Caenorhabditis elegans: one gene and its partners. The protein of the gene in region 4 interacts with the protein of the main gene of each other region in a pairwise test. Each region holds a gene or a part of one and is shown on either strand. Other genes may lie near its edges. The genes, in order: ugt-60, hsb-1, rpl-9 and F39H12.1.

Region 1 (6,671 bases), on a different chromosome or scaffold from region 4:
AATCATTATTATTCTTATTGTTCTACTACAATGCCATTCGGAGGTGCTGCTCCAGTTGCTGCCGGCGTTTCTGCTCCAGACGCTGACGATGTTCCTTCTCCAGATTATGCAGCCACCTCAGGTCTTCAGCTCGTTCGTCCTCATAGGGTGAAGTCTTCGTGCCTTACCCTTCGTAACGGCGGAGATGATTGCTTCATGAACGTTGTATTGCAGCTTCTGAAGCGTGCTTCGTTTGAAGATCATCTCCGTACATGTTGCGTTGGTGAGATGCATGAAGAGCTGAGGAAACTGCTCTCTGGTGAAAAAGACGTTGTCGGTCATCTGAGAGGAATGCTGAGCAGTAGCGAGCTGCACAAGGGAGTCAATTCGCCGTCATTTGCATTTGTAATTTTGCTAAAAGTGAGTATCAGATATTAATACCGTATTTCCTCTATTAGTAAATATTGCAGTCTCTAATAGTCTTCCATCCCACTTTTTAGACCTGCAAAACTTTCCGGAAACGTCAGAAAATTTGCCATTTCTGAGTAAATTAAACATGAAATGGTTCAAATAATAGATAAAATATTGGAAAATGGTCGCTTTCCCTAGGTTGTTGGGCATTCGAAAAATAGTCTTACAACCTCTAATATTCTTGCAGTCTCTATTAGTCTTGCACCCTAACGGACCAATTGAAAATTAGTCTTGAAAACTAGGCATGCAAGACTAATAGAGGAAATACGGTAACTTATTTTGTAACTACCCAAAACCATGCGTGCTTATTTTATCGCCATATTCGATGCGCAAATATCACATGAATACAGTAACCCGGTCGAATCAGTCACATCAAAAAAATGGTATTTCCTCGTCGAATATGGCCGCCGTTTTTCAAATTTTTGGTGTTTTTTTGAGAAAAAAACCGAGAACGAGAATTGGAATAAAAAATAACATTAAAAGGCGAATTTTAAAAAAAGCGAATGAAAATGCGAATAATTTAGAGAAGTTTCCTTAATTTCTATTTAAATAGAGGAACTAAATTTTTCGAAGATATATTAATCTAAATTTGTTAATTTTGAAAAAAAATCAGTTCAATATAAATTTCAGGACTTGGCTGTAGAGTGTAAGAACGACGCCAAGGTTCCCCATCCCATGCGGTACAAGAGCCACGTTGTTTGCAGTGTTCAAGGCTGCACAAAGCCGAAGCCGTCGAATTGGCCACTTTTCTGTGTGAAATTGCCAAAAGGAAAGTCGTTCACCGACATGGTGCTCCAGAAGCCATGGGAATGTAAGGACCACTTGGGAAAATCGGCTATGATCGAGAAGAAGATCATAGCCGACAAGTTCAACTCGAACTTCATATGGATCCATGTTGACTCTGCTGAGGGACGTTACAAACAAATGAGGATGAAGGACAACCAGGAATTCATCATCTTTGGAGAACATTGTCGGCTGGTCGGCTTTCTGGACGTTAAGATAGTACCCGAAGGCTTACACGGAATCGTTTGGATACATAATGGCGGAGGTTGGAGCCGGGTTTCGGATCATCACAAGAAGGAGTTTTGGAGCACGTCATTCGACATGGACTCAATCTATGCAGGCGCTCTGTTCCTGTTCGAGCGCAAATAAGAACTTTGTTTTTTAAATTAAATAAATTTTTTTCAATACTGTTTTTTTTAGCCGGACAACGTTTTCTTGCCTTGAGGATGGCCCCAAGTGATTTTATTCTTTTAATAAAATATAATCCAAACAAGAAAAGGTCAAGGCCCCCACGAGTCCGACAAAGAAAGAGAGGAACAAAATAATAGTGAGACCGGCAAGCGGAATGAGAAAGAAAAAAGAGAACAAAAAGGGAATTAGAGATCATAAACATAATTAAAACCGGAAAAATATTCAAATGAGGAATAAATCATGTAACAAATTGACGGGGAAAGAGAAAATGGGGAGTATTATGGAAAATGGATTTCCAGAAGGGGACAGTTGAGGTGAAAAAATCACTAACTTTGGGTTTTATACATATAATAATCATAAGCCTTTTTTGGGACTCTGTTATTCTGATCTGATCGTTTGAGTTAACTCCTAATGAGTAAAATACGAGGTACCGCTAATTGCAAGAAAATCACAAAACTTATTCTCAAAAACGGGTTCTGATTTAAGAATTTAATCAATAAACGATGTCCTTGTAACAAATGATACCACTGATCATTCGACCCTTTTTATTATCATTTCTCCATATCAGACACCTCCTGCAAATCCTTTGCATCTTACTTATCTCTTTTACCAATCGTTCTCTCAATGTTACAATTCAGATTGTCGAAAGATCATGTATCTACCTATTTTTTGTATTTTTCTGTCAGTTGTCGATTCCCTTCGAATATTGCAAATTGTACCCGGTTTCACTAATTCTCATGTTTTATTCAATTACCGACTTGCAGAAACCCTCAGGTATATTTAACGAGGGTTTTATTTTATGAAAAAACCAAAAAAAAGTTAATAAAAATGAAAAAAAAATGCTAAATGCTAAATTGTGTTTTAGAAATAACCTCAAAAAAAAATCCGCAGTTTTTATTTAAGATTTCTCGGTCATGATGTCAAAATGTGGACTCAAATGGAAATGGCGATGCTTGACACGGGAAATAACAAACTTCCGGAAGGTGTTTCTGAATACAGAATACCAATTCATTTCACGGATACTTTGAAAACTGAAGGATTGAAAGTAATCAATTAAACATTCCAAATATCTATTTAAGAAGTTTTTGCAGGTCTTCCAATCAATGATGTTCGAATCAGGAGATGCTCATGATTTATGGTGGACTGGTCAAGAATTCAAAGATATGAGAGTAGAAGCATGTGAACAAATGCTTCGACACGATGAAAGTGTGTATGAAGATTTTAGGAAAGACGGTTTTGATGTCGCCATTGCACATTTCCATGATTTGTGTCCACTTGCAATTGCGAAGAAAATGAATGTAAAAAGAGTAAGTGGAAGAGGAAAAGATTAGGATCTAGAAGAGTATCTTAAATTTAGGACTTGATGATTTTTATCGACTTTTAATAATTTTTAATTAATAATATCTAATCATGATTAGAAAACTGCATGAAAATCCGGATGAAAACTGAAATTGCCGATATCTTTCAAATAAAACACAAATATTTATGAGATGAACTTTACTTTTTACAAGATTCATAGTTCAGAGTTTTATTTTTAAAACAAAAAATAAATAATTAAGGTAATCTGGATAACACATGGAACATCAATTTACGAATTCTCGGCTGTACAGCTTGGACTTCGAACGATTCCATCAACGATTCCGCATCCACTTTCTTCAGGTATTTGACGCGTCTAGCTCAATTTTTTAGTAAGCAAAACTTTTCATTTTCAGCTGGTTTCTCTCAATTATTTCTGGATCGTGTACAAAATACTCTTTGGCATCTGTCACTTCTTGATTTTGTGAATCTTCCTCAAAATCTTCTCGTTGACGAGAATTTGTTCTATCGAGGTTTGTATGGCTGTGTACTGAGGGATCAAACAATTCGAAAATCAAAAATTTCAGAGTTCGTCGGTGCTGACCAAGATGATTTATGGGATTTAGCAAAAACCACAGTACCATCATTATTAATTAATGGGGATAGAATGCTTGATTTTCCACGACCACTTCCAATTCATATCGCTTTTTCTGGAGAACTGGGAGTTAGTAAAGGAAAGAAGCTGGTTATGGAAAAATGGTTAGAAGATATAATTGAGAAACCATCGGATGGACTTATTGTATTTTCATTGGGAACTGTATCAAATACTACAAATATGCCAGCTCAAATGATTGTAAGTTATTTGCTTTTGCTTCCAAATGGCTAAAACTCCTATTGTTTAATACAATAAATTCAGAACTCTTTCCTCGGCGCATTCGGAAAATTGAAGACTTACACAATTCTTTGGAGGATGGAAAAATCTGTGGCGGGAGCTGAAAAGTATGAGAATCTGCATTTGGTGAAGTGGTTACCGCAGAAGGATATTATGAGACACCCAAAAATGAAATTAATGATTGCACATGGAGGCTATAATTCTTTCTTGGAAGCTGCACAGGTGAGGGATCATTCAATATCACAACAAAGAAAATATTGTCAAATCCATCAATTGGTGCTCAAATGACAAAATATTATAGAGAATCTTTTCACCAATGTATTTTTGAGCTTGCAGAAGAGCTTGAAATACGTAGACACCCCCATTTACGCTATTTCTTCACTTTTAAATTCCAAATTGTCCGAATTTCCAAAACTCATCTAGAAATTGTCATTTTTTGTCTTTGTAGACTTATTATGAATCTACGATTCTTGTATCAAATAGTAGTTTCAGGCTGGAATCCCTGCTGTTCTGATGCCACTATTTGCGGATCAGAAGATCAATGCAAAGAGAGCCCAGAGATATGGAATGGCAACTGTACTGGATAAATTAGATTTGACTATCAATAATGTTTATGGAGCCATCAAGGAAGCATTGAAACCGGAGTAAGTTTGACAGGACAGTTTAGAAAATTCACTTTTTAACAAAGTTAACATTCCAAAACCAACGAACTTATTTTTGTGAAAAAATTGCAAAAATCTAATAGTAAAAATCTTTACTAATGGAAACAGATTCAAAATATATTTTCAGGTACTCCACAAATGCAAAAAAACTATCCGCGATGCTCTCAGATCAAGTTGCTCGAAAACCTTATTCTGCACTCCGATACTCTCTGAAATTAGCAACAAGTCCGAAACCTTCTCTGTTCACACTGAAATCTCAACATTTATCATTCTTGGAATTCCATAATCTTGACATATTTTCGATTGTATTGCTAACTGCGTTTATTGTATGTTTTTAGAGAAAACCAACTAATTGAAAAAAATTTGGGTAACTTAAAAATTTGACTTTTCGAAAAAATTGTCTTTTCGGCAAAAACAGTTGCTTGTATGAAATTAAAGAAAAACAACAAAACTGTAATAAGAAGATTTGAAAATTCACCTGAACACTGTAAAGCTTTGGGAGATGCTGAAGGTTTTAAAATCATGTTTGGACAGTTTTTTGTTAATTTTTGAAACATCTCGTCTATTTTCAGAGGTTCTATAACTAATTTTTGCCGGAATGTGGAAAAAATATATCTTAAAATTAACTAGTAAATTATTCTCGGAGTAGTCGAGTAATAATAGTGCGGTACTTTTCTCCAGAACATAATTTTTTTGATTATATAGTAGTACCATCCCTCTCCTTGTTAGCTACTTTCATATGAATAAATAAGCATACATTTATAAATGCCAAAAGCTAAGATTGAAAGATCAAGTCACATACTAGTCACATACGAGTCCAATGTACGTGTGCAATATTTATTCATATATTTACATCTCAATAGGTGTAATTAACTTCCTGTTACAAATGTTTCAGAGGATGAGAAAATGTATGGTATACCAAATATTCACTTCCGTGTTTTTTTTTTTCGTCTAACAACAAAATCGTTCTTCACAGATTTACATCAGAATTTTCCACAATATAAATACAAGAAAGGTTCCTGAATACAAAAACCTGGGTTCAAAGCTCAATTGTTTTTTCTTGTTTCCACTTAAGTTAAACCGACTCGGTAACAAATCGAGCTTTTTTTTTAAATAAAAACTTCAACGCGGAAGTAATTTTCTCTCTTCTAGAGGTTTTGATGTATCAAAATTTTAGATTTTGAAAAAATATGAACCACGTACTCGGCATTTCGTGTTTTCTTTCTCCCACCCTTTTGCCACCTTTCTACCACCAAAATGTAGAAAGGCGAAAAATGGATAGGGAAAGGCGGCAAAATGGTGGCAGATTGGTGACAATAGGTGGCAACGATGCTATTATTTTTGTTTGTTTTCACTCTGAAAATAAATAAAAACAAACTGCAATTAGGTTATACAATCTAAATTTATTTTATGAAACATCATATACATCATTAAAACATTTTAAATAATTAAAAATTCGTATTTTTCCATAGTTTGCTGCCACATAGCACGAATTTGCCTGTTTTTCGTGGCATTCTCCCGTCGATTTTCGGTAATCTGCAAAAACATGAATAGGAATATGTTTATTTATTAAGTAGAATTTGTAAACCCTTACCTTTCAAGATCCGGTGAGCAACCAGTTCAGGTCGAGCCGTCTGCTATCTCGTAAAAAAAAAATAAAAAAAAATAAAAAAAAAAAATAGATTTAAAAACGTTGAAGAAAAAATTGTTTAAAAAAATTAATTCGAAGAGTTATCCGTGCCAGGATAACATCCGAGAACACGTCAGCACTATCTTGGCGCACAATGAAAGGTGACAAAGTGCTACAAAAGGCGACAAAGGGTGGCAAATGGTGGCAGTTTTGGTGTCACCAGAACGCTGCCGCTGCTGTTTTAGACCACAATAGGTGGGAGAAAGGTGGCAAACGCGACTGAATTTCGAGTATTCGTTGAATAATTGTGATATTTTTACAAAAGGTGGGGAGAAGGTGGCAAAAAGGTGAGCGGAAGGTGAGAAGACCTCAAAAGGTGGGAGAAAGGAGGCACTAAATGCCGAGTATCTAATAATGATTTGGAATTTTGAAAATTTTTCAGAGATCACACTATCTTCAAAATTTAAAATAAAACCCTTGGCTCTTTGCACGCAGGTTGACTTATCAAAGTGTTTTTCCAAAGAAAAAATTAGAACTGTACTTCACA
Region 2 (5,325 bases), on a different chromosome or scaffold from region 4:
CGGTACCGGTCTCGAGGCGACAAATTTTTCTTTTGTCGAATGAAACGAATGAAGATTTCTGCAGAATTTTAATTGTTGAAATATAGGTGTTAATTTTGTAGTGCTAAATTGATAAATATTTTTTTTTATCAAATAACTAATTAAAATCCATAAAAATTCGGCAGAAATGAGAGTTTGAAATTACAGTACTCCTTGAGGGCGCACACATTTTCTTATCTAACAAAAAGTTGTCGTGTCGAGACCGGTTACAGTAGTTTTCTTGCAAAATTATCCCCTCCTTACCGCTTCCCGATTGTTGGAAGATCCGTTAGAAGGATCAGCGAGGTCGAAAACTGCATTCGTTTCGATCGATTGAATGAATGTAACAAATTTGTGAAGTTTCCGACGTCGTGAAGTTGGAAGCGAAAGAAGTACCAATTGAATTGCTTCGATCAACCATTGCTCTCGGATTTCGTAGGATTTTTCGTCTGAAATTATAATTTTAAGTAAAAATCGTGAAACTGTAATAAAAATAAAATTCTTTACCTTGTATTTCCAAATTCACTCTATTATCAAATGGTGATAACGCACGTCGTCGATACTTTGAAGCTCGAATTCCGCATGCTGGAAGATCACGGGAGAATCCATCGACCATCAATCCAGCCTCCTCAATACTAGACGCAGACGAAGAAATCATCACTTTCGACCATCGCCTTGCAGGCCCATTGTCAAGCATTGCCGCGAAGCTATCGATTTTGCAGAGGAGATTAACAATAAGAGAGCATTCATCGAATTGAAGAGGAGCATTCAAGTCTTCGAGACGATTGACTAGAGTTATGAAAATCCGATTGACGTTGTATTCCAACCCTGTGTCCATTTTTTTATGCGTGACGAAGGGATATCGAACAAGATAATCCATGAATTGAATAACAGTTTGGGGATAATCGGGCTGCAGTCCCTGACATCTCGATTTGACGATTCCATCAGCATGATCTATTTCAATCATGTTCCACTGAATATCGTATCCATCGACTTTAGATGCCCATTCACAGGGAAGAGTGCGATCGTAAATTTGTTCCAATCGTCCAAGCAGCTCTGTTTTCCAAAATGAGCATTCGTTGTTTGCCTGGACAGAGTCTGCAACTGGAACAACCGACGATCTTCTCATGATGGATTCGTACATTCTTCCACGCGATAACAATGCTGGATTTGATCCTGCGATGCTTGTCCGATGATTTTGATATCTGCTAGGAACTGCAGGCAACGGTCCTTGTGGATGCATAAAGACGACGTCTTTCGGGGCTTCTCGAATTGGCGGAGTGGTTACTTTCTGACTACGAAGAGCAGCTTCAGCTTTTTCTTGTTCCAAAACACAATGATTTCGATCAAGGGATGCTGAACGACGGGTTGGTTGATTGACTTTCGTGTGATTTCGTCTTGATTTGAAAAACGGTAACCAATCATAAACCTTCTCTTTCATCTCAGAAACTTCTCGTTTTTCAGTATATTCTTCTGTACAGATACTTTCAAGTGATCTGTTCAAAATCTTCGGAGTTCGTTGTTTCTTCGGGATTTCATCGTCTTTATGATCATCGAAACCGTGATTCTCAACGCCGCCTGAAGAATTATCGATGCCTGCTTTGTCAATGTTGCCATTAGATCGCGATAATCTTCGTGGGAGCCTTGCCTTTGGTGGCCGGTGCATTGTCGCGGCAGGAGAGGCAGGTTGAGCAACTCTGGAAATATATTTTATAGCACAGTTTAAAATGATTATTTGGCATACTTTGCACTTTTGCGAGCACCACTGAAAGACGCTGATCGACGTGATCGGGGCTTGGGATGCTTCAACTCATCCAAAGTCTTCATGAACAAATATATTCTCGATTCACTGAATGGCCTCCTTTGCTTGACTTTCTTCGGGAAGGCTTCTGAAATCACGTTCATGTCCATCATGAACTCCAGGAACTTCTGCATCTTGTCTCGTTCCGGAACATTGTTAGGGATGATTCGTGGCATTTCAATCATCAGAAAATCCACAGCTTCTTTCCCGCTGAAACTGTTTTCCGCAGTGGCCAATCCTCTTCTGTTCGTTTTGAGTGATAAGTTTGAACGAAAATGCCATAGAATTTCGTCGAACTGAAAATCAGAATAAAATTTCAAAAGACAAATGTGAAACATTTTAATACCAGATGCGTCGCCTTGAACTTCTCCGATGAGTAGTCGGCAGACATCACGGCAAGACGGCCTAAAACTTGAATTTTGATGGTTTATTGATAAATTTAAGAACTTCTTAAAAGAAAACGAGATTTCATCACGAAAAAAAGCAAGAATGAGGAAAAATTTCTGGAAACTTCCTAAAAATTGCTGAAACGAGTGAAGTTTTGGCGCCGAAGTTTTGTTTACGGACCAAACACACGAAAACACGACTTGTCACACAACTTATTAGCTACAGTAACCCATTCTGCTTTGAAAATTTCTCTTTTTAATTAAAAATTCCTCGATTCAGATGTTTTTTTTTTCTCAAAGTGTTTCTAATAATTATATTTTCCTCGAAATCCACACTATTTTACATAAAACAAATCATCTTATTCTGCTCTTTTCGCCGTTTACACCATCTGTCCTTCTCCAATGACTCCTTCTCTGCGTCTCTTTCACTCTCTCGCCGCCCTCTTTTTCTCTGTCGTCTCTCACTTCGACGTACTTTCTCTCGTGTTGTTGTTCCCGTACTTTTGTGTGTTCCACTGTTTGTGAGATGACGGCTAGTTGCCTGGTACTGGATTCTCACCAGTTTTAATTGATTTTTCATCAAATTTTCTTTAAAAACTGATTAAACTTTGTGATTTTTATCGTATTTTTACAGATTTTCAGTTCAAAATGTCCGATGAGAAGTCTACCACACCAACCGCTCAACTCGACGCTCCAGCCGATGGAAATATGAATGATTTGACGTCGTTGGTACGTAAATACTTGAAAAAAATTGTCAATTTTCTAAAAAATCCTAAAACTCAGATACAAGGAGTTCTGCAACAGACACAGGATCGATTCCAGCACATGTCGGATCAGATTATTCGGCGAATCGATGATATGACAACGAGAATCGATGATTTGGAGAAGAATATCAACGATTTGCTGCAATCGAACCAAGTTGAACATCCGCCAAGCGCTCAATAAGATTGGTACGGAATGAGAAAAATGGGAAACATTCTCAAAAATTTCGGTCGATGTTTTGACCACTCGTTATTTTTGAAAAACAGTGTTGTTTTTGATGTCGACTTTGAAATTTCAAAAAAAAACAATAATATGGGCCGTGGGACCCAATTAGAAATACAGTAAAAAACGCTCTTTGGCCGAATATTTTATAATTTTCATGTATGAAGTCAATCCTTTTATTCCTTCTTAACTTTAGTTTGAAATATATTTAGATTTCCTAGCGCCTTTCCAATCGATTTACCACGTGGTAATCAGGCCGATTGCACCGTTATTCCAAGACTTTATCATTAAAAATTAGTATAAAAATATAGAACTTCACCTATTAATTTTGGCTGAAAAATTCGCCGAAGAGCTCAAAAATGGTCTGAAAGATGCCAAATTTCCACTAAAAAATCAATTTGTAGAGATTATTAATAACTAATCTCTCTTCAATTTCTATTTTTTCCAGCTCTACACTCTTCCCAAATGAATCATCGTCGCTTCCTTCTTCATCATCATCATAATTCCAATTCGTTTTGTGTGCTTCTCTGCGTCTCTCCTACATACATATACTCTTTTCACGTCTTCTTCTTCTTCTTTTTCTACTGATTATGCACGTGTTGAGAGGATTCATGACTACTATGTTGTGCCTCCTGCTTTTAATCTCTTATTCAATAACTTTTGTTGCATTTTATTACGATTTTCGGAATTATTTTATTTATATGTGAAAACACAAATTTTGCCAAAAATTCAAATTTTTGTGCATTTTTAAAAAAAATTTTCAATATGAAACTATTCATCTTACTTTTTCTTCTTCTTCCCTTGAATTTTTTCTCATACTAAATGTTGATTTCTCACAGTTTTTACTAACTATTTCGCATCCGGATTTTCAGATAAAAAACATATAATTTCAGAAATGGGAGCTCAAAATTCGAAGCGAAAAGATCTAAAAAATATTAACGATGAGGATTATGCACATTTTATGGAAAAACTCAAAAAACACACAGATGGAAAGGACAAAATGACGCGAGACCAGTTTGTGGTGAATTAATTTTTAGAAGGAAAATACATTTTAATATAAAATTTTCAAATTCCAGGCAATGTTCATACCGATTCTGGGTGAATATTCATCACAATTCTACTTTCGTTTGGTAAAAAACGAGCCGCAGGGCGTTTTGCTCGCTAAAACAATCCTAAAATGTATTGATACTGGACTGGGACATTTCGATCAGCTCGCCGATATGCTCAGATTCTGTTTTGGAGATCAAAAAGATCAGGTTTCGAATTTATTAATTTAAAGAAAAACTTCTTTTTTTTTTGTCAGATAATGCGAAATGTTGTGAAAATCTTCTGTGAAGGAAACAAATTCACCCGAGAGGATCAGGTCCGTCTCTACGATTATTTCGAAACAGAAAATACAAAACCAGTGAGCGAACTGGAAAGCTTTTTCTCAATGTGCCCACTGTTCGCCTATTGTGCTTCGTTCATTTTCCAACGACTTTTGGATAAAACTGGAGACTCGAAAATGCCAATTCTCTCGGACAAGACTCATTTAATGGGAAATATCGATCAATTAGTGCTCAACTCGCACCTTCCATTCGATCGACGCAAAAATTGGACACTTTTATATTCAAACATGAAACACGGGCAAAGTTTCTCACAATTGGTTAAATGTATTAATGGAGAAGGTCCTTGTATGATTGTGATCAGATCAATGAAAGGACGACGATTTGGGTTTTTCGCCTCGCAAGGTACACAAGAAATGTTGTGTCGATTTACGCAGCTCGTGTACTCCTCGAGAAGAATTTATACCTTATGATTTGCAGAAGATTTTACAGATTTTACTTTTTTTGCAGATTTTCTAGATTTCAGATCTTTCTTTTTGTAGACTGAAACCGAGAAATTGTAGTTTTACAATAGCAAATACATTTTCAAAAATGCTATAAATTATAGATAAATTGATGATTCCAGTTTTAAATATCAAAAAAATTGACAAACAGTTTCAAAAATTGAACATTTCATCCAAAAACTGTAAAATCTTCCTCCACGAGGAATACACGAACTGCGTAAATCCACACATGGCTGTGTTACAAGTTTCGCAGTAATTCTTCATTTTTTCAATTATGATAAAGCAACGGAATTCTAGCAGATACTATT
Region 3 (4,891 bases), on a different chromosome or scaffold from region 4:
GCTGTAAAGCGACCTACGTCTGTATCGTTCCTGTCCAAGCATAATATCATCAATTTCAATAACAACTATAAACTAAAATGGACGAATTTTAAGACTGATATGCAAAAATTGTCCGAATTGTACTCATATTTTGCCAGTTTTGACTTGTTATACCAAGTCTGTAAAAGTTTTCCTAATTTTTAGAACGACTTTATAATGCAAATTTTTGAATTCCTAAAAATAGGGAACAAATGAAGGGGAGCAAAACTATTAGAGGTGCGAAACTAATAGAGGGTGCAAAACTAATTTTCGATTGGTGATTTTTGATGCAAAACTAATAGAGGCGCCTAACTAACAGAGGAAATACGATATATATATATATATATATATATACATATGTCGGATTGTAATTTTTTTCAAATTGTGCAGTTAGTTCTTGGTCACTGAATTTGGACTTTCTGAGAAATTTCGAGAAGTGTTTCAGGTTTGAGCCACTACAATCGTTTAAAAAAACATGATTGTATTATTAAGAAACACAATTTTCTTGGTCGTCTTCAAAAACTTGCTAGGGGAAAACTGAGTTATTGGAATTTTTGACCGTAACTTAAACATTTTCTAATATATTTTACAGATTTCATCATTTCAGCATCTCCTCAGTGACATCACCACAGAAATACTTTTTTAAAAATATTTTTTTATTGCCAGATCTTCAAATTTCAAAATAGTTTGTAGTAAATTTTCATCCTTGCTATTGAGTTGATTAATTTTTGACATGTGCTCTTAAAGGCGCATGGATTTATTCAAATGGGTCTCACCACGCAACATAGTTATGGTATTATCTTTTGTTTAATTTTTGTGACTGCTTCCTTGTTTACATATTTTCCTTGTACGTTTCAATGAAATTACATTGTTTTTATTTTTTGCATGGAACCGAAACAAGGAAGCAGCCGCAAAAAAAAGGCTACCGTAAACTTTTTGTGTGCCGATACCCATCTGAATAAGTCTATGCGCCTTTAAGACCTACCAAAATCTTGCCAAATTACGATACATTTTCAAACAGCGCTATGGCCATGGAAAGTTTCTCCCGAATTTTGGAAAAAACCCAATATTATCTACAGAACCACAAAATTTGTACAAATAGTCCAGATAATACAATCACCGTCGCTTTCTCTAGTAATGCACTCCATTAGCACCTTTGACCAGATTCGTTGTTCGCTAATTCAAATAAAAACTTCAGATTTTGATAACAAATTCATTAACAAAAAGCGACTAGAAATTAGTCAGTTGGGACGATGGTGGTCTTCTCCGAAACGTAGATTCCGTCGAGGAATTTACGGATATCCTTCTCCTTAACGGCGGTGGATTGTTGGATACGGGCAGCTGCAGAAATAATAATTTAAATGTGAAATAAACAAAATAAGTTTTCTTACCGGCTTGAGATACGAATTGGACATCATTTCCCTCGACTACGATCTCGTCCTTTTGGGCGGTGGAGATGGTGGCGATGACTCCCTCTGGAAGTGGGACACGACGAACGATCTTCTCTCCCAAGAAGTTACGGATCTGAATAATGTGTGAGTTTGAATTATGAAACACATGAATAATTTCACTTACCTCAACAGTTCTGTTTCCATCTTGAAGGGTAACGTTGATGGGGAAATGGGCATATACGGAACGCATCTTGTAGCGGAATCCGACGGTGACTCCCTTGATCATGTTCTTGATGTGGGAGCAGACAGTGCGGATAGCGGCAAGCTCCTTACGAACTCCGAACCACTTGCGGACGCGGAGGGTGCTCTTTCCGATACGCTCCATCTCCATGTGCAAGTGACGGAAATCCTTGCGGATGGTTCCGCGTGGTCCGGTGACATGGACGATGCGGTTCTTGACGGTGAAGGTGACTCCCTCTGGGAACACAACAGTGTCGTTAGACTCGATCAGCTTCATGATCTCCCTGGATTACCTGGAAACGATAAAATGAATTGCAACGCATTAAAAGTAAATATCAAGAATTAAAAATCAACAGAGTTCGGTTCAATACGTTTTACTTAATCGTGAAACATGTAAGAAAAACTGCAATTGAAACGGCACTAACACTTTTGAAATGGAGATTAGTGAACAACGTTAGAAGAAAGATAAAGTCGGGAGAAGGAATATTTTTCAGTGTTGAAATAAGCTCCGTATCGCACATGCTGTATAGCGTCGATACTCAGCGAAATAGAAACCGTGCGGCAGTTGCGTTCTCTGTCTCTTCGAATCTCCTCCTACTTTTCTGTGCCCTCTTCACTTCGACACCAATTTTTCGCCAAATGTGGTCGTTTTCACCATTTTTTATCGCGCATCACTCATATTTACATAGAAAATCAACTATTTATAATTTATCTTAGCAATTCAGTAATATTCAGCTAACTAGTTTTCCTGGTGTCTTGATAGTCTCGTTAATTCCGTCGGAAGCTTCGTCTTATTATTTCGTATTTTCAGCAGAATGAAGGACCGATTCAAACAAAAGTACACAGCCGGAGCTGCCGTGGCATATATGTCACGGAAACAAGCATTGAAGAAGCTTCAACTTACACTGAAGGACTTCCGCCGACTTTGTATTATTAAGGTTAGTACATTAATTTTTAAATTAGTCATCGAATTCAAATTTTTCAGGGAATCTACCCACACGAACCGGCCCACAAGAAGCAAGCAAACAAGGGTTCAACTGCAAATAAGGTGTTCTATTATCGCAAAGACATCAATTTTCTCGCCCACGAACCCATCATCAATAAGTTCAGAGATTATAAGGCAAGTTTATCTTTGTTCAACAAAATAAACTTTGAATGTTTTTAGGTGTTCCTGCGTAAATTGAATCACTTGAAAGCAAAGAAGGAAGAGGATAAACTCAAGAAGTTGTACGAAAACAAGCCAGTCTATAGTCTGGACACTATCGTCAAGGAACGCTTCCCAACATTTGGATCAGCTCTCAGAGATATGGATGACGCCTTGTCCCTTTGCTTCACATTCGCTATGCTTCCACATACTCGTGTTCTCAAAGAAGGAATGATTGACAGTTGCCGAAAACTCACTGCGGAGTTCATGCACTATGTGATTGAATCGCAATCTCTTCGCAATACCTTCATCTCGATCAAGGGAATTTACTATCAAGCGGAGGTACATGGAGAGAAAATCACTTGGGTTGTTCCACACGAGCGTGGTCTTCCACATGTCACCGATGTTGATTTCACAGTCCTCGTGACTTTCGTCGAGTTTTACATTGCCATGTTGGGGTTTGTCAATTTCAAGCTCTATCAAGACATCGGACTCTTCTACCCACCACAGATCGGGCAAGTCGTGAAAACTGATGAAATGGAGACTGAAGAATACAAAGAAAAGGTGTACAGTTTGGCGAAACCATTGGCTAAGAGAAAGGATGTTGAGCAGGCTGAAGACGATGAGCCGTTGGACCTTCTTGGTGAAGACTCTGATGCACTCGCGCAAAAAGTCAGAGAAGCAAAAAGCATCAAGACTATGTTCAAAGGTTGCGTTTTCTACTTGAATCGAGAGTGCCCAAAAGAAGCACTCACTTTTATTATTCGTAATGGAGGTGGAATTGTTGGATGGGAAGGAGGCCCTACAGATCTCAAGGCCGACAGTAAAAATATCAGTCACCACGTTGTCGATCGGCCAATGGACAAGCTGGAGGTGAATAGACTTTATGTACAGCCACAGTGGGTGTTCGATTGTCTGAATGCTCGCAGGAAGCTGCCTACGGAAAGATACATGCCAGGAGTAGCTCTTCCGCCACATTTCTCACCATTTACATCTGAGAAGGCTGGAGACTACATTCCGTTCGAAAGATTGGAAGAACTCAGAAGCATGGGCAAAGGTGTGTTTTGTTTTTACTTTTGTGTAGTATTCTATCTTTTCAATCTGATCTGAAGGAACGAGATATTAAATTCACGTCCTTTAATAAAATATTGTTCAGACGTGTCTGATCTCGAAGCAGCAATTCCGAAGACGATGGACGAGTTGCCAATGCGAAGAAAGGAGGTGAAACCAGAAAAACCAAAGGGTATTCACATTGCTGTTGGTCAAATGCACAAGAAGAGCAAAGAGAAGTTCCACGAGACTGTCGAGAAGGGACAGGAGTTGAAGATGCGCGAATTGATGATTTCCAAGAAGCACCAACGAGTGTACCACAGTATGAAGACCACGTTCAAACGCAATCGCAACGACGCTTTGAAATTGAAGAAGAAGGCCAAGTTGGCAAAGGCAACAGAGGCATAAATCATATGCAAGTTGTGTTCTCTCGTTTTGTTTTGTTGAAATTGTTGATTTTATCTCTTTTAATAATCCATCTTTGTTTTGTTACCATTATTATGCCCATTATCATTGATAAATGACGTTCGGAAATAATTTTACAATTGAAAAACAGTTTTTATTCAAATTCAAAGTGACAAAAAATAAGTTAAATATAAATAGAAATCATGACTTATTGCTTTTTTATAAGTAAAACTAGGTGAGATCTAAGGCGATTTTGTATTGGTTGTCGTGGATTTTGTTGTATTGCTTTTTTGTTATTTTTCAAATACAGCCTAAGCATCTTCGATCTAACGTGTCGTGGATACATATCTATCATAAGCATCCTGTGTTGGATCTTCTTGAGCAATTGCACCATAGTTTGCATTGACTACGGTAGTTGCATTGAAAGCATCTGTGATTTTTCCATCCCGAGCCATCGGGACTCCTTGTGGTGCTAAAATATAAATAATCATCACCCAGACGCGAAATTTTGCGATTTTTGAGCCAAAAATACGGGATCCGGTCTCGACACGACAAATATTTGTTAAATGTGCAAAGATGTGCGCCTTTAAAGAGTACTGTACTTTCAAACTTGTGTTGATGTGGGAATTTTATCGATTTTTTA
Region 4 (6,947 bases):
GATTCAATCTGAAATTCGCGGATTTCTTACTCGCAAGCACGTTGATAAGATGAAGAAGGAGGATACTGACGCGGCAACTAAGATTCAGGCACATATTAGGTTTGTTAAAAATATTTGTGTTGCTTCTTGAAATATCAGTAATAGTTACTTATACCCTTGCAAAAAATTTCTGAATGTGTTATAGAACGTCATAGGTTAAGTAGCACTGTTTTATGTTTTATTAGATTGAATGCAGAAGACAGTATTTTACAGGGAATTGTTTATTTTATTTAAACTAACTGCTGGAGACCTACTTGCTATAAAATTGAAGTTTGATAATTTTTGAGACATTTGAAGTAAATCAAACGGTACCTGAAAATGTTGCGAGTGATATATATGACAAACTTAGCAACTCCAAGTCTTTTTCAGAGGCTTCTTGACACGAAAACACTTGGACGAACAGGGCCTATCTCCATCCAGAAGTCACTCTTCCCTTCAATCCGACCATTCTGATCACAACTAAAAAAACCATATTCGAAATTTTTTCACAGCGCAGACTTTCCAACGAATTCATGCCCAGAGATTAATATTATTTCTGTCTTCAAATTTTCTAACTTTTATTTTTCTAACTTCCTATCGTATACACTCGTCGTCATTATCTCTTAATAAATAAACCAACAAACAATGTTCATTTCATGATTTCACTATCAAAGTCTTATCCGAACAAATGAATAAAAAAAAAGACAACTGTTAGTGAGTTCTAAATTTTGTCAAGAAATATTTTTGGTGAATGTTTTTTTTTTCAAAATTTTTAAATTTCGGTACTTGTGTAATATACGTGGGCAACCTTTTTTCTTCATATTAAGCTAAAATGGAAATCAGTTTTCCGTTTGGATTAATTCAGCATTTTCAGAAGAAATGAATGGAAACCGTATTGGAATATACTGTTGGGCCAGGTTAACTACAAAAAACAAAAATTGTTATAGTTCTTTGGCTGAAAAGTAATTTTTAAGTAAACCCTTCATTCAATAACCAAAAAATTCAAATTGAAAGCCAAATCGGAATCAAAAACTAAAAAAAAGACATTTCGGATCAACTGAATATCACATATAAAATCTACATAATTAGTAATCAATTGAATAAACTTGTGAAAAATGCTATGTAGAACCCTTTTCATCTGATTGTGCAATATTGTCCGTGAGAGCCAACGCCTGAAAAGGGAAGTAAAATCTTGTTGTTTCGATGATCCAACTTACTTGTTGCTTCAAAATATCTTTCAATTCTTCGTTGTCCACGAGGATTTCATCAAGTTGCTCGATCTTTTCACCATGCATGATTAAGGTCTCATTGAGTTGTTCTTGCAGCCTCTAAAAAATTGGATTGCTGTTTGAAATTGGGGAAAAAAATTGGGATTTTCGGAAGTTCTTATCACTTGTAATCCTTTTCCTTCACCGTTTTTTTGTAGTTCACAGTGATGATTGAAAACACGCTTATTTTATTGAAAACATTCAAATTATTCTTGAACAAAATCTCAGCCTAAGTTATTCGTACAGTGTCGGCCCTGGAGCAATGAATCGAAGTTTAAAGAGATTTCACTTTACACAGTAAGAGCTTCGAGCGAAGCCTCAAACCTGAATAGTCAAGTTTTCTAAACATATACCCCACTCCTGAAATAATTTCAAAGAGATCTCGAATAACCCGTTAACAGGTTCGAGGCGAAGCCGAGAACCTGCGCCAGCTACCTTGCTAATAACTTAAAGCGAATTAACCCTATCCCCATTCCCGAAGGGCTGGCGGGCCCATATATCCGCTAGTCAATTAATCATATTCAAATATTTTCAGTGTTCAAACCTGCATTAATGCTCGAAATCATTCAAAAATTACACATCTTTGAATAATTTTGTCATTTTATAAAAACTTTAATTTAAAACTTTGAAACATCTAAACAAAATTTAAATATCGTAATAGGATCTTTTCTCGTGCTGGACTATTCAGCGTGTATTTAGATTAGATGGCGGTATTAACCTCCGAAATAATAATTAATCTAATATGCAAAAACCGATATTTGCCCAAACGATTTATTTTTATCTCACCTCAATTTCCGCTTTATCACTTCGTCTCTGCGCCAAAAGAAGTCTCTTTTCCATCTCTAATTGTTCAATTATCTGCAGAAGGTCGGTCACATTCCCGTTCTTGCCATTTGGAGAAGATGCGATTTCCTTTTCTTCTCTCTCCCACCGATGGCTTTCCTAAAACATTGATTTACGAGTACGGTTGTGCAAAAAATTGTCCATTAGAGCAAAAACTCACATCAATGTATACTGATTTAGTTTGTGTAGATTCATCATGTTTGACGACTTGATTCGTTTGCTCCCGAGACTTGTTTTCACAGTTACAGGGTAATTGTATAATCTTCGGTGATGAGGATTTCCTCTTCGCTTGATTCTCCAAGCTTCTTTTAATTTCTGCTCCAAAAGTTTCGAAATCACTGATAAATGTTTCTTCTGTTTTTTGTAGCGCACCTTTCATTTGTGAGATCTAAGACAATAGCCTAATTTTCAAAATTTTTTCAAAAAAAATACCTGGTTTCTAAAATATTGAAGTACATCTTGAGTTCTGTGCCACGAATCTGTGCTATTTTGGTACTTTTCCTCTAATTCAATTTTCTCCTTTGTTAATTGGGAGCAAGTATGTTTGAGATTTGAGATTTCTTGATGAAAGTGATCCCGTTCTGAAAAATTTAGTCATTGAATCTATATTTTCTAAAAAAGTATTTCTTACCTTCACTAAGCATGTTCACAACTTTTTCATTCACGGAAAATCTATTTTCCTCCATTTCTCTCTCAAGATTTGCATGGCTGTGTTGTAAGAATTGATTTGCTTTTTTGTACTCCGTTAGTTCCTTCCGCAATCCATAAATTGCTTGGTTGAGAATTTCTTCAGGATTTGGTAATGTTACTTCTGGCACAGCAACTGGAGCTGGAGCCGGTGCTGGAGCAGGTGTCAGAGCTGCAGCGGGGCTCACAACACTCGATATTGAGATATCCTGTAATTTTTAATAATATATGTATTGAAAAATGATAATTAGTATTGTACTTGATTACTAAGTTTTGCTGTTTACTAGTATATTGTTTGTTGAAAAACGTTCTACAAATTTCAAAACGGATTGGGATCCGATCTGATAAAGTTTGATGTTTTTCTAATCCCTGACTTGCTCTGAGACTTCGCCCCGAAACAAAATCATTATTCAAATCACAATCTAAAATTCCATCACTCTAAATTTAAATCTAGTTTCTGCCGCTTCACATCTTGTCTAGGATTTCCCTGATACCTTGTTCAAGATCAGATCATTGTCTTGTCTTAGCGAAAGTGACTTTCTGTGTGTTATGTATACTATGATGTCATTTAATGTAGCTACTCACCGTATCAAACTCCATTGGTATTATTCGTAATCGATCCGGTGACGCTGTCCGTGAAGATGCTCTGAAGTTATGTTTTCTTTTAGTCAGTAGATCTACCAGTAATGTCAGTGCAACTGTTAGTTTGGTCAGTGCAACTGTCTAGTTGGTCAGTGCAACTGTCAACTTGGTCAGTGCAACTGTCAAGTTGGTCAGTGCATAATCCAAGTTGGGTTAGTGCACTCATAATTATAGTCAATACATCCACAAATTTATCATTATGGTCAGATTATTGTTATGTTTACATAATTCTTACCTTGTTAAATGTTCAATGTCCGATGAAATAATTGTTTGAATATCATCTCCAATATATCGATTATTATGAAATGCTAGAAAACGGGAACTAATTATTAATATTTATTCATTTAAATTTAAGAAAAACTTACGCGGTAAAACAGGTTCCAACATAACAATATCGTCAGCTAATGGCTCGGACCCTTGTGACGGAGATGAGCATTCCTGCTCAGCATGAACTTCATCTGGCACATCAACTTCAACCTCGGCTGCTTCTGGCCTGATATCCAACACCTGATCAATTCGTTTTTGTGCTTGAAGTATTGCTTCTTTCCAATTAACATTCATTGTGCCTGAAACTGACTAAAAAGGTAAAATAGAACAGACAAAAGCTGGTAAATAAGAAGCGTGTTGTGTAAAGTTCTGACGGAAGGAGAAAAGATGAATCAGATAAGCAGTGACGGAATTTAGTGGAATCCACGTTTTATTGGGTTGAACAGAGGAAATGGAAGAGACACATTGTGTCGTGGAGAAACCTAGGCCAGGAGGTATTGGGATAACAAAATTGTTGTGTTGAATAAATATTAAAATATAAATATAACAATACAATTTTAAGATTTCAAAATTCAAATGAAAACTTTCTGATTAGGTATATTGAAAATTTTAACAAATCAACAGTTAAATAAATTTCAAGAAAATAAATTGGCATTGGAGTTTCGATATAAAAATACAGTCGAAATATAACTTCCCTTATTTTTCAAAATCAAATGTACTTATAAAATGCAAAAATTCTATAAAATCTTCATTTTCATGTTGCCAAAAAATAAATCAATAGCACTACGCGTCAAGAGGAACTAGAGAGAGAGTGGAGGGGCAGAATGTTGAACAGCTGTCCTAAACATAACTAGCTGACTGAGGAGGAACAATAAATTATGAATATTTATTTTTGTAGAAAAACGATAATATTCAATTTATTCAACTTGACAAAGCGAATAAGAACATAATCAAAAATTTTCAGGTTAAAAAATGTCAGTTTTGTCAGTTTTGGGAAAATAGGGTATAATTGTGTTTTAAAGGCTATTGCTGATAGTGAGAAATTATTTTTTAAGACGTTTCAACTTCTAGAAATGTATACCGTATTTCCTCTGTTAGTCTTGCATGCAAGACTAAATTTCAATTGGTCCGTAGGGGTGCCAGACTAACAGAGGAAATACGGGATTTCTAGTATTTGGAGTGTTTCATGAGTTAGAATCAATAAAACCTTCATTTTTACAGCAATATTTTGAAGCTAGTATACATTTTTTAGCAGAATCCTGTTTTGTTTAGAAAACACATAAAAGAATAACAAGTTCATTCATTTACTAATATTGATGGAATTCATTCAAAATGGAAAAAGAGAGAATGCACAGAGAATTCATAATCGAATGCCAGAATTTAAAAGAATAATACATTTTTGAGAAATTATATAATTATTATATTATTAGTCTTGCGAAGCAATGCTTTGACAACTCAGATCTTAGTTTTACAGATAAATCTTGCTAGCAAAATAGACTACATGGAGTGTAATGTTTTTTTGTTATTAAACATATTAAAAGCCAAATACAGATATATTAATTGAAGATACACAGTAAAATATAATTATGTAGCAGGTACAGCAGTTTTCTTGATAATCTTGTACATCACCAAGACGTTGCTATCAAATGCGGCAATTGCAATTGCACTCCCGCGTCCATTTGTGAATTGCGCTCCCATGATGACGTTGGACGGATCGCTGTCAGAGAAACGGTATTCAACCTGAAATTGAGTTTTTGTGTATACCTAAATGTTCTCGACTTTCTGTGAACTAACTTGATAAGCATGTGGTTTTCTTGTGTGAAGCTTCGAAACGATAAAAGTGCCATCCTCGGAAGAAGTCAAGACATATGCGCTTTCCGGTGCGACAGAAACACTATTCACTGGTCTTGAATGAGCATTTATCTGTGAGAAATTATTATAAGCAACATTTTCACAAGCATGAAAATAGAAAAAGTATCGAGAAGAAGCCCGAGTTTTCAGTCATGTTTCCATAAAGGGCTCTTCAAGCACTATGCACTGCATATCTGGGAGTCAGGTACACTGGCTGGTGGTAATCCCAATGGGCTACAATTTAGGCCACGTCCTAGCCGGAGACTGTGGTTGATAGTCTTGGATTACTTCACTTCCCAATAGAGGCTGGATGAACCTAGCGGGGCGAGTCCGGACTCGAACTTGTGACCTCCAGATTGCTAGCGGCCACCATTACCGATTTTTTTTAATTGCCTTGAGGATGACCCACAAGTGAATTTATTGTTTAATCAATCCCGATTGAGCTATCCCAAAGTTTTTCACCTGATTTTCTGTTAAGTTCCGATTCCCTCCCCCTCAACTATTCTTACCTCACACATAAGATCTCCCGTAGTTACCGAATAATACTGAACAATTCCTCTCAAAGTTCCCACGATCACCTGCTTTCTCAACACATTTATTACGTTGATGTGCTGCCTAAAATAAACATTTTACGTCAGAAACTTAGAGTATATTACTTTGTGATAACTCTCGAGTTCACCCCTTTTACGGGTTTTTGCCATATGATCAGTTCTCCGTTCGAATCGGCACTGACAGTTATTTCATCGTAACGACACGTGGCTATGTCCGTGATGGCACAACGATGTTCCTGAAACATTATTTGAAATTGGAGGGGTTTCTTGCACGAAGCCAAGAAATGGGTGGGGGCCCAACTTTCCCATAGATCAAAGCAAGAAGACAGTTTGAATACATTTTCTTTTCAAAGAGATTCTCCACAACTGATTTCTCACTACTTCCATGAAAATGTACCGATAAAATTGTTAGGAATGTTTAAAATATGAAAATTCTGTCAGTGAAATGAGAATTTTCCGTTTTTAGTGACTGCAAATTTACTGCTTTATACACCTTGACTGAGTTTACTGCGCATGAGAGCCTGTTTTCGGTACTCCCCACTAACAAAAATCTACTAATAGAGCAGAACACAACGAGCAGTGTTTTTAAAAAAACTCATTTACCTTGAGGTTTTTACGACTAGAGAAGTTGGAGTCCCCATTGCACATGATGACAACAATCTCGCCGGTATGTGTTCCTAAATGTATGTATTTCCTTAAGCGACATCGGCGTTTCCACCAAACTCACCAACCAATACAGCATTATCGTTACAGGTAACACCTCTACAATACGGTCCTACATCTTTCCCAACCGCGGGGACGTAGTCTCTCAACGCCACAC

The links.
Region 1: the proteins of F39H12.1 (region 4) and ugt-60 interact in a two-hybrid assay, tested with the Caenorhabditis elegans proteins (one large-scale study listed by BioGRID).
Region 2: the proteins of F39H12.1 (region 4) and hsb-1 interact in a two-hybrid assay, tested with the Caenorhabditis elegans proteins (one large-scale study listed by BioGRID).
Region 3: the proteins of F39H12.1 (region 4) and rpl-9 interact in a two-hybrid assay, tested with the Caenorhabditis elegans proteins (one large-scale study listed by BioGRID).

What each region holds. Positions count from the first base shown.
Region 1 is NC_003281.10:9,674,629-9,681,299, reverse strand, and holds ugt-60 (Putative UDP-glucuronosyltransferase ugt-60), read left to right. Parts: upstream 1-2,248; 5' UTR 2,249-2,296; coding exon 2,297-2,418; intron 2,419-2,547; coding exon 2,548-2,689; intron 2,690-2,735; coding exon 2,736-2,951; intron 2,952-3,203; coding exon 3,204-3,303; intron 3,304-3,356; coding exon 3,357-3,473; intron 3,474-3,527; coding exon 3,528-3,793; intron 3,794-3,856; coding exon 3,857-4,054; intron 4,055-4,324; coding exon 4,325-4,476; intron 4,477-4,621; coding exon 4,622-4,832; 3' UTR 4,833-4,980; downstream 4,981-6,671. Other genes in the region: C07A9.13 (USP domain-containing protein), read left to right, coding at 31-399, 1,081-1,602.
Region 2 is NC_003282.8:12,564,741-12,570,065, reverse strand, and holds hsb-1 (Heat shock factor-binding protein 1), read left to right. Parts: upstream 1-2,839; 5' UTR 2,840-2,853; coding exon 2,854-2,934; intron 2,935-2,988; coding exon 2,989-3,150; 3' UTR 3,151-3,155; intron 3,156-3,637; 3' UTR 3,638-3,971; downstream 3,972-5,325. Other genes in the region: Protein let-99, read right to left, coding at 283-467, 526-1,715, 1,763-2,115, 2,166-2,210; eak-7 (MTOR-associated protein MEAK7), read left to right, coding at 4,085-4,210, 4,266-4,445, 4,493-4,919.
Region 3 is NC_003281.10:7,570,890-7,575,780, forward strand, and holds rpl-9 (Large ribosomal subunit protein uL6), read right to left. Parts: upstream 1,943-4,891; 5' UTR 1,927-1,942; coding exon 1,594-1,926; intron 1,543-1,593; coding exon 1,410-1,542; intron 1,360-1,409; coding exon 1,256-1,359; 3' UTR 1,216-1,255; downstream 1-1,215. Other genes in the region: lpd-7 (Pescadillo homolog), read left to right, coding at 2,465-2,587, 2,635-2,769, 2,815-3,850, 3,950-4,251; mfsd-6 (Major facilitator superfamily associated domain-containing protein), read right to left, coding at 4,575-4,720.
Region 4 is NC_003284.9:831,861-838,807, reverse strand, and holds F39H12.1 (Pericentrin), read right to left. Parts: upstream 4,031-6,947; 5' UTR 4,020-4,030; coding exon 3,824-4,019; intron 3,767-3,823; coding exon 3,694-3,766; intron 3,463-3,693; coding exon 3,402-3,462; intron 3,026-3,401; coding exon 2,761-3,025; intron 2,711-2,760; coding exon 2,562-2,710; intron 2,518-2,561; coding exon 2,290-2,517; intron 2,229-2,289; coding exon 2,073-2,228; intron 1,347-2,072; coding exon 1,236-1,346; intron 1,191-1,235; coding exon 1,137-1,190; 3' UTR 987-1,136; downstream 1-986. Other genes in the region: F39H12.3 (RIIa domain-containing protein), read left to right, coding at 1-99, 409-502; wdr-54 (WD repeat-containing protein 54 beta-propeller domain-containing protein), read right to left, coding at 5,310-5,465, 5,520-5,648, 6,086-6,191, 6,233-6,363, 6,731-6,804, 6,855-6,947.